Linked DNA regions of Canis lupus familiaris. The protein of the gene in region 1 purifies or fractionates together with the protein of each later gene. This does not show direct contact. Links are inferred from orthologs where the notes say so. Each region holds a gene or a part of one and is shown on either strand. Other genes may lie near its edges. The genes, in order: TWF1, DBN1 and CAPZB.

The links.
Region 2: the proteins of TWF1 (region 1) and DBN1 purify together in Homo sapiens (affinity purification with mass spectrometry; 3 studies listed by BioGRID and IntAct, with this or other methods). This does not show direct contact. The link is inferred for Canis lupus familiaris from reciprocal best matches to the Homo sapiens genes TWF1 and DBN1.
Region 3: the proteins of TWF1 (region 1) and CAPZB purify together in Homo sapiens (affinity purification with mass spectrometry; 3 studies listed by BioGRID and IntAct, with this or other methods). This does not show direct contact. The link is inferred for Canis lupus familiaris from reciprocal best matches to the Homo sapiens genes TWF1 and CAPZB.

Annotation. Positions count from the first base shown.
Region 1 is NC_049248.1:36,256,047-36,258,618, forward strand, and holds part of TWF1 (twinfilin-1), read right to left. Parts: intron 2,564-2,572; coding exon 2,438-2,563; intron 1,984-2,437; coding exon 1,833-1,983; intron 1,672-1,832; coding exon 1,550-1,671; intron 277-1,549; coding exon 106-276; 3' UTR 1-105. UniProt on the Homo sapiens protein: Actin-binding protein involved in motile and morphological processes. Inhibits actin polymerization, likely by sequestering G-actin. By capping the barbed ends of filaments, it also regulates motility.
Region 2 is NC_049225.1:36,792,329-36,795,980, reverse strand, and holds part of DBN1 (drebrin), read right to left. Parts: intron 3,507-3,652; coding exon 3,355-3,506; intron 3,270-3,354; coding exon 3,206-3,269; intron 1-3,205. UniProt on the Homo sapiens protein: Actin cytoskeleton-organizing protein that plays a role in the formation of cell projections. Required for actin polymerization at immunological synapses (IS) and for the recruitment of the chemokine receptor CXCR4 to IS.
Region 3 is NC_049223.1:78,771,004-78,774,655, forward strand, and holds part of CAPZB (F-actin-capping protein subunit beta), read left to right. Parts: intron 1-513; coding exon 514-616; 3' UTR 617-626; intron 627-3,339; coding exon of another isoform or gene 3,340-3,427; 3' UTR 3,428-3,652. UniProt on the Homo sapiens protein: F-actin-capping proteins bind in a Ca(2+)-independent manner to the fast growing ends of actin filaments (barbed end) thereby blocking the exchange of subunits at these ends.

The DNA.
Region 1 (2,572 bases):
TACAATTTTTCCCCTACTATGTATCAACATGGAATGATTTCAGTTCTCCTGTACTAAAAGCTGGACTTTTAAAAAACTAGTATTGTAATGCTTAATATAATGACTTTAATCAGCAGCGGCTTCACTTTCAGCTGGACCCCTTATAAGTCTTCGAATTCCTCTTTTTCCTGCAGGACCTTTTGGTTTTGCAAAACTTTGCTTATGTGCATGCTGCTTTGGGTGTACTTCTTCATAAAGGAAGTCTGCTGTCAACTCATCCCCATTGTCTATCTCAATCTGTAAGAGATGGAATTGGTAAAGTGTGATACTATACGAAAAAGACAACATTCAAAACCTAGTGCAACCATGGTGCCAGTTTTCAGGTGTAATAAATATGTAACACCTATTCTAGCAGGAGAGTATCAAGGACCATATGTAAATAGTTTCACTTCCACATTTTTTGGGGAGGGAAACCCCTCCCTGGGGTTGTGAGTTGCCTGAACACATAATCAGCAATAATCATTTTCTATTTGGTTCCTCTTTCTTCTTCTACCTAGTATATAAGAAGCCACCACTATATTCTCAAGTTGCTCTGCTTTGTTACACTATACATATCCAAGAAACATTATTCATTAGCGCCTTTGTTACTTGAGTCACTTGAAATTACTCTAGAACAGGGCCAAATTTAACCCAAATTAAGAGGTGCTTTACATTTTTACAGGGCTATAAACATAAAATAATAAAGCAAACAAGAGTATGTAACAAAGACCATATGTAGCCTGGTGAAACAGAGTATTTACTATCTGGTCTTATAGTAGAAAAAGTCAGCCAGTCCCTGCTATACCTTCAGATCTTAAAAAGCATAAAGAGAGAAAAAAAAAAAAAAAAAAAAAAGCATAAAGGGTTAGTACCCAATACACTGGCAGTTTGTAGGGATGTGTGTTTTAATGGGTTGAAGGGTTCAAGAATAAACCACATCTTTACCCATGCCTCATTTGCATTTAAGAAAATAAATTTAATTAAATTGGTAGCTTAGCTCCCCAAATGCAAATGTTTATGCCCATTCCCTCCTTACTCAACAAATAGATTCTCAACCATCCCATGGTTCAGTTACAAATGGAGATTCTAGTTCCTTATTAATAGCAAGTGTTGAGACAAGCACAGGTATGTAGATCTAGCAGCACTGTCCAGAATTTTCTGCAATATGGAAATGTTCTCTAAATTCTGCACTTTCCAATACAGTAGCCATAGCCACTTGTAGCTACAAACACTTGAAATATGGCCAGTGTGATTAAGAAACTGAATTTAAATTTTATTTAATTTTAATTTATATTTAAATTTAAATAGCCACATGTAGCTTAATGGCTGCATATTAGCATAGATCTATAAGGAGCCTGGAGCAATGATAGATCTTCCCCAGGCACTTAGAGTAAAGGAGACCCTGAAGATTTATGATGAGAACAAGAAAAAAATACTTTCATTAATAAATCATGATACATCATGAACTACATGAAAAAGACAATAAAGATCTAACAAATACTGAAATTTAAAAATAAATAGGTAATTTTACCTTTCTAATGACATCCATTTGTAGTTGTCTTTCTACAATTTCTAGCAGAGGGCTCTTGCAGCTAGAATATAACATCCGTTCTCTTATACTGCATGTGTATCCAGGCATTGAATAAATAAAAACTGTAAGTCAAAATAATAAATACAATTAGCATTACAACAATTAAAGCAAATACTAAACTTCACAGAATTATAGCTAAGTCTTCTGGGCAAGAGTGAGAATACAGTGTTAAAATACCAAAAAGCCAACTGAAAGTAACATGTTAAAGCAATATACTATATACCTATGGACTCCAAATAGTCTCCTTCATGGGAATGTTTATACAGGAAGAAATGGTAACGTGCTGAATCCTTGGGAATCCTCTTTGGCAAATCTTTTAGTTCTGTATTTGTTGTGTTGGCCAAAATTATAATTTCATTTTTTATATCTATTTCCTGTCAATAAGAAATAGCTTCATTAAAACAGATACACAGCAATTTAAAAATTGTAATAAAAAAAACTAGCAGAGGGACGCCTGGGTGGCTCAGCGGTTTAGCGCCTGCCTTCAGCCCTGGGCGTGATCCCGGGGTCCTGGGATCAGGTCCCATGTCGGGCTCCCTGCATGGAGCCTGCTTCTCCCTCTGCCTGTGTCTCTGCCTCTCTCTGTCTCTCTCGTGAATGAGTAAATAAAATATTTAAAAACAAAACAGAACAAAAAAACCTAGCAGACAAGGGGAAACTTACACAGGTTTGACTTTTCACAGTGAACATACATTGTCTTGTAGTTTTAAGAAAATGAATTTAAAAAAATCAGGAAACAAAACAATTTTAAATCCATTAAAAATAAACCTTATATGAACCATGAGACACCAGAAAGGACTGCCATTTCATAATTATCATGTCTCTTACCAATTGCACATAGTTGAGCTGTCTGTTACTTAATTTTTCCAAAGCCTGAAAAGCTTCTCGAGAAATAGGAAATGCTACTCCTTGTAGTGTTTGATGCTTAGTGTCCACACCCACGTCAGTTTGTACCTAAGAATG
Region 2 (3,652 bases), on another chromosome or scaffold:
CCACTCATGAGTGCTCCCTGCTTTGTAGCTTAAGTGTTCTTGGATCTCCTACCCCAGTACCTAGCCAGCCACATGCCTATCATTGCTGCCTTGATCTTCGCATCATGACCGAGAGCTTCCCATTAGTCACCTGCCTCCTTGCTCTTCTCTCATACAAGGATCTTTCCTAAATCCAAATGAGACCATGAATTTCCCTAGCTTAAAATCCCTTGGCGGGTTTCTCAAGAGTATAGTGAGTACTAGCTGACTAAGGCCCACAGAAGGCTTTTGTGTTGTGTCTCCAGTTTCTCTTAAAATGCCAGAAGCCCTGGCAACAATGGACACGCCCCAAAGCAACTACTGGCCAGAGCAGCGCTGCAGGAGCCCTCAACCCAGGCACCTCAACCCAGGCATGTGCTATCCCGTTTGCTGCAGTCCCCACCACAAGTGCATTCCCTAGTGCACTTTACCAGCCAGCTGCACTACAGTTTAGAGGCTGCGACCCCAGGAATAAAGATAGACAGGAGTTCCTTGCGTGTCCCCTGTTCCCCTTCCCCTTGTCTGATCTAGTCCATCACCTCTCTAACACTCACACACCCTTTAAGATGTAACCACAAAGTCCTCAACACGATGCAGTCAGAGTTCCTGGAATGTGCACATCATCTCCCCCCTCCCGTGCCTCTGCATGGAAGATCAATCTCTTGCCCCAAGTGCCCATCTCCCAGCCCAGGTCCAACTCTTCCCACTTCCATCCTCAGCCTGGATACTGCCTCCTGGAGAAGTGGTCCCTCGCCCATTCAGGTCATTTTGGGGTCTCCATGAGGTATTCTAGGCACACACCACAGATTACACAGTATCATAACTTCCTTTTTCTGGGCTCACTGCCCCTATCCTCTGTGGTGACACAGAACAAGAAGTGAGATCCAGCACAAGGTTCTGCTGGCATGTGTTTGCTCAACTGAACTCACTACATCAAAGCTTTTTAATTGGTGCTGCTCCTGCTGCCACTGTGGCTGATGGGGCAGGAGGGACTGAGTGCAGAGGGGAGGAGAGGCTGCAGGTAAGGTGGGGGACTTACAGAGCTTCTCTGCTTTGTGCATGTAATCTAAACTCAAACTTTGCTCTCAGGATACATTAAGAGAATGGCCTATCAAAGCATCCCCCTCAAGAGGGTTGTCATTCCAACCACAACTCTGCGTTCTTCCAGAATGAAGTCTCAAGTCCTCCTCTGACCTAGCTCTCTTTCCAATCCAATTTCCCTTGCTCTTCAGCTGACTGGGCTCCAGCCAGGCTCCTTGCCTTCCCATAAATTACATCCCACCAGCCTTTGCTGGTGTTCAGCACCGCCTAGTGTGACCTCACTAGATGCCTTTGCCTCATTCAAAAAAAGGACTAGAGGCAAGCTCACCACAAAAGCCTTAACTACTAACGACGTGCAAAAGATTGAAACAAATTACGGGTACTGGGTAGGAAAAGCGAGATCAACACACTAATCACATGGTCAGAAGCACTGCTGTGCCTGAGTGTTTTCAGATACGTGGGGGCTCCCTGACCGCTCAGGCAGAAAGGGAACCTAGGCAAGGAACGCAATTCTTAAGCAGAACAACAGCTTAAACAAAGAGACAGCATGTTATGGTTCTAAATTCCAAAGTTGTCACGAGACCTTCTTTAGAGGACCTGAAGTGGTAGGATCACCACACTGACCTGCTTGAATATCCACTGTCACTACCCTATGAGCCACACCTGAAGGGCCGGGTATAAGACTTTGCCTGAAACGTTGACAACTGGTGTAGATGAGTGATCACTTCAGGGGAATGCACTATTACTGTTCTTTCTACCTTTGCGTGTCTGTATGTGAAATTCTCTATAAAGCAAGCTTTTTCAAAACGACCTTGCTCTGAATGGATAAACAAAATGCGGTGTATACGTACAAAGGAATGTTATTAGCCTTAAAAAGGAAGACCTTCTGACACATGGATGAACCTTGAAGACACCGCACTAGGTGAAATAACCTAGTCACAAAAGGACAAATATTACGATTCCATTCAAATGAGGTACTTAAGAGTAGTCAAATTCACGGAAAGTAGAAAGGCAGTTGCCAGGGACCTGGGGGAGAAGAGAATGGGGAGTTAATGTTTAATGCGGACAGAGTTTCAATATGGAAAGATGAAAAAAATTGGAGATAAACAGTGATGATAGTTGTACAATGTAAATATGTTGGGAATCTTAATGCCACTAAACTGTATACTTAAAAATGGTTAAGATGGCACATTTTATGGACATTCTGGCACAATTCAAAATAAACTGATTCATCAATTACTTTTTAAAAAAGTTTTGCCCATCTTGCTCTCCACTGTTTCTAACACCTGGTACCCGGCAGGTGGCAAAGGTGTGCTGAATGAACAACTGTAGCTGGAGCTCACTAACCACACATCTCCACCCCCAGCGCTGATGTGACTGCAATGAACTCTGACAGCCACTTCATACCACAGTCGGCATGGCTGTCGGGTCTCCTCCCTCCCAGCCTCCTGCGGGGGTGACCCTCCTGGAGCTCATCTGGGTCCTCATGGCAAAACTGGCCATCACTAATCCACATGAGTACTGCCCACCTCCCACTCAGAACTCTACCATGCTCCACCCTAAATGACCTTGGCTATTTCTGAAATACAAAATTCAATTCAAAGCATGAAGACTCAACCCCAGGATGCTTCTGTGGGCCACCCCCAGTGTGTAGAGGTACGAGAACACCCCTAGAACTATACACACTTGTGTATAGATGCTCAGAACATGGGCCCAAACTCCTTCGTGTGGCTCTGCAGCACAACTGTGGTGGGGACCAGGTTTCCAGCCCCTCCAAAGTGCAGGAAGTGTGTCTAACCCACCCCAAGCTTCTCAGGCTCCACTGGGAGGAGGAGTTGGGGGGGAGGGGCAGGTCAGTGAGGGACTGGGTCAAGACAGATTTTCTCTTTCAGTCTACAAAATAAACTTCTCCAAGGAAGTCTCTTTCCACAGCCCAGGAACAGAGACCCACATGATTGGGTGGCAGGCCTGACACTCTGTGACACTCCCATGCCCATGCAGAGGTACTCCGAACACCCAGAACAGTCGTCAAGCCACTGATAACCAGCTCCTCCCAGGCCCACCCCCCTCAACAGAGGCCCAGTAACACAGGGACTATTCTCACTTCCCCTAACCAGGAGACTGGGAGCCCCAAACAAAAACTTACAAAGATAGACTGTTCCTTCAACCGTCGCTTGGCCTCCTCAGCTTCTAAAGTCTGCTGTTTCCTCCTGGAATGATAAGCGGGCATGCATACCTCAGGGTGGGTCCACATGCAGCCTGGAGCAAGTGGCCTAGGGTGGGGGCAGGGCCAACCTGTGCTCCTCGATCTGCTGTTCCCGTTCTCGGTAGCGCCGTTCCCGCTCCTCCTGCTCCTGACGTTCCTGCTCCATCCGTTCTTGCTCAAACCGGAGTCTCTCATCCAGGGCCTTCTTCCGCTCCTCCTCCTTCCTCAGCTCTTCCTCCTTCTGCAACCCCCCACACCAAGGCAGTGCAGGCCCTGAGCTGGGGCCCGCCCCTGCCCCTCCAGCCCCTCCCCAACACAAGATTGGGGAGGTTCTGTTTCTGGGAAGTTCAGCCCAATATGGCTCCCTCTTTCAGCTGGGGTAGCACA
Region 3 (3,652 bases), on another chromosome or scaffold:
GTGGGGTAGCCTCTGCCCTCAGCTTCAGTCCCCAGGGCCCCATTCCATGTGTCAGGCTCTGCTTTGGGGCCGACAGCAGAGGCAGGGAGCCGCTCCGGGGGCTGCCCTGACTTGTGGATTCACCCAGGAGACAGATTCCTGGTCTCCTGCTTGTATGGTTTGAAATAGCGAGGAGCCCCCTGGATCTGCATCTCTCCCATTTCCACCTGCCGGTGGGGAACTCAGTCTGGCCCCTGGCGGGTTCTGTTCCTCCTCTGGCAACATCGCTGTCCTCTGGTCACCTGGGGCCCACGCTCCGTCCCGCAGACACGCTCCTGGCAGGGGGGTGGTGGCCGGGCCCCCTCCAGCCTCAAGCTCAGCGGCTCCCCCTCTGTGCTGCGCCCCGGAGCGCAGGGCCCTTGGACACGGCTCTGCCTTCTACCCCGCACGCCCCTGCGTCTCCAGCAGTCATGTCGTGCTCCTAGGTGCGTGTCCCTCCCTCCCGCCGCACTCATCTCTGACCACTCTCTGTAGATCTGTTGACGTAATCCCCGACCACCCCAAGTTTCAGCAGCTGCAGAGGGAGCTTTCCCAAGTGCTGACCCAGCGCCAGATCCACATCCAGCCTGATAACTAAGCCGACGCAGGTACCCTGCCTGAGAGGCGTGAGCACCCTCCCCACTAAACAGGACTCACCAACCCGCCGCCACCCCCGGACCAGCTGTGGCTGCGCGGTCCTCTAAACCACCACTAACCCCCGTGTCGGCTCACGGCTGTGGGCGGCCGCGGTAACACGTAGAGTCGGCCCCGTGTAACCCAGACCCGTATCACGTGTGTGCTGTGTGTGTGTCTTGCACTCTAGGCAGGGGTGGGTGTGGGGCAGAGACGGGGCTTGGCCCTGGCTCTGGAGGAAGCCCAGTCTGGGGATTAACCCTGCGTCTCCAGCAGAAGCCGCCTGTCTGCACCGCTCTGGTCTCAGAGCCGGGGTCTGGGCACAGCCTTCGCTCGGCCGCATGCCCCAGGGCAGCCTCCCCGAGCCCCCTCTCTGTGCACCAGAGCCTCTGGCCTCCCCACCAAGCATCCCAGAGGCCAGATGAGCCTTCTCCATGGGAAATGGACAGTTTGGGGCCGTGGCTTGTGAAAGGGGTGTGTGGCCCCGAGCCGGAGGCTAGAGCACAGAGCGGAGGCCAGAATCCCCCCGGCTGGGCTTGCTGCACCCCCAGACCGGTTGCTGCTGGAGCTGCTTGGACCGGCATAACCTTCTGCCCCTAACAAGCTGCGGCCGTCCTCTTAAACGCCTCACACTGACGGAAAGGAGCAAGTGTTGCTTGTTGACCACAGCTGTGAACCCCGACTTGAGCCCATGACAGATACAGATGGGGGAAAGCCCGCGTCCTGGGAGAGGAGGGAAACTTTTAATCCAAGGCACTCAGAAGCCCTCAGGGCAGGGCTAAGGGATTTCTGCCCAGACCAGGGACTGGCCACTGGAGGCCTGACCCAGAAGAGGCCCAGCAGGATTTCGGGGGAGCGGGGGGCATTGATGCAACCAGGCTCCTCTGTGTTCATGGGACTCCAGTGTGTCTGGGCCTCTGAGTGCCACCCTCACGCCTTGCGCTGGGACATCCCATTCCCATCGCAGCGAGAGGAAACCTTCTTAAGGCGTGCCGTGGTACTGCCGGCGTCTTCCCCAGCCTCTCAGCTTTTGTTGGGGGTGGGGTGGGGTGTAAAGTCTTCTAGAGCCCTGCCCTGGGTCAGTCCCTTGGCCACCCCCTGGAAGATTTCCAGCATAGAGCCCCCCCCCCCCCCCAGCAGCGGGCAGCCGGGCTCTCCGTGGGTCCAGGACACGTCCTCCTTCCCACTCTGAGCCACCAGTTCCTCTGGGCATTGATTGGACATTGCTTGGCAGTGACCTTTCCAGGCTGTGTCCCCCAAATTATATCTCCAGGCCATTCTGAGCCCAGTCTCCCGTGCCTTACCTAATCTCCCTCTGGTTCTAACTCTGGAACTTTCTCCCTTGTGGAGGTTGAGGACAGGGCCCAGGCCAGGCCTGGTGTGCTTGGCTGCTCCTTCCCAGAAGAGCCAGCACCCACGCAGGCCGGGGAACCGTGCGAGCTGTCGCTTCCTCCCCCCGGAAGCTTTTCCAGAAGCACATGGTGGGCCAAGAACCGAAGCCCGGGGCCACCAGGGCTGCCGTCTGACGCTTCCCTTTGCTACCGCTGAGCCGGGGCAGCCCAGGATGCTTGTTCAGAAACATTCCACCGAAAACCATGGCACTTCTCCTGAGAGTTTTTTAGTGGTTTACGGATCAGCTTATCTGTGCCACCCTCAGACTTGGGAGGCCACGTGCCATGATTTTTCTGGGATTCAGTAGCCAGAGCTCAGTTTGGGATGTTCTTGGTTCTCCCAGTTCTGGAAGTCGAGGATTCTTTTCTGCCCCGTCTTCCGGCCTTTTCACGGCCGATGCATTTCAAGCCTGAGATTCCTACGGGCCGCAGTGTCCACAGCTTTCCTGCCAGGCAGCCTGCACCCTTCCGTCACTGCTTCAAAACTGTTGAAAAGTTTATAAGAAGTTTAGCAACTTCTTGGTCAACACGTTGGGTCAGTTTGACAGAGCGACCTTTCAGGCCCTTGGAGGGGGGGCACTTCCCTGAGCCTCAGTTTCCTCGTCCGTGGATTGGGGACACCAGGAGGCCCCCCAGGATCTTTGAGGGGAATGAGAGCTGTGTGGGAAGCACTGTGTGCGCCGCCCGGCCTTTGCAGAGCTTAGCGGCCGCTTGCTCCGGTGCAGAGCTTAACGCCCGTGCGCAGGTGCACCGGTCCACACGGCCCCACAAATCCAGGATCGGACAGCAGGGACCCAGGGCCTCTCGTCTCCGTCCCATGCTGCCTCCTGAAATCCAGGCTGAGGGAGCTTCTCGGCCAAGTTCAGCTGACGGTGCCGCACAGCAGCAGGCTGCCCGCGCCTGCCCTTTGGGGCTCAGATGTCCAGAGGTTCTTAAGCGTTCGCTGCACCCTGCACCCTGCACTTGGGGGGTGAGCCGCGGGCCGCCTCTGCCGGGCAGGGGGGCGGTGAGGGGAGGCTCCCCGGCAGGGCCCCTGAAGCACGAGGGGCTCGGCTGCGTTGCTCTCGAAGCCCCGGAGCCACCCTCTGGCTCAGGCTGACTTGGGACCCGCGCCCGGAGGAGTGGATGGGGTTCGGTGACCCCAGGCGGGCCGTGCACGGAGGCCCGCGCCTCTCCAGCGCCCCCAGCCGACGTCAGCCCGGCGGCCCCACGGTCACCCGAGGAGGCAGCGTGACCCGGCCCTCGGGCCGCCGCTCCCCGCCACGCGCACTGACGCCCTCTTTCCCCCTCCCGGCAGGTCTGTGCAGACTTTCGCAGACAAATCAAAGCAAGAAGCTCTTAAGAACGACCTGGTGGAGGCCTTGAAGAGAAAGCAGCAGTGTTAGAGCCCCGCTCCGCTCGCTCCGGACACGCCACGCGCTCGGTAGAGTCCTTTCTTAGAAAACTCGTCTTCTGCCCCCGCCCCGCCCCGCCCCCACCAGGTCCCGTAACACCGGCATCGCGACCGCACAGCGCCATCTCCCCAGAATAAAGCCCAGTAAACACCCCTGTCTCCGAGGCCTACTTCCCACCACGTTTTGCTATCAGAACTCTCCTTGTTTCCAGAGCCC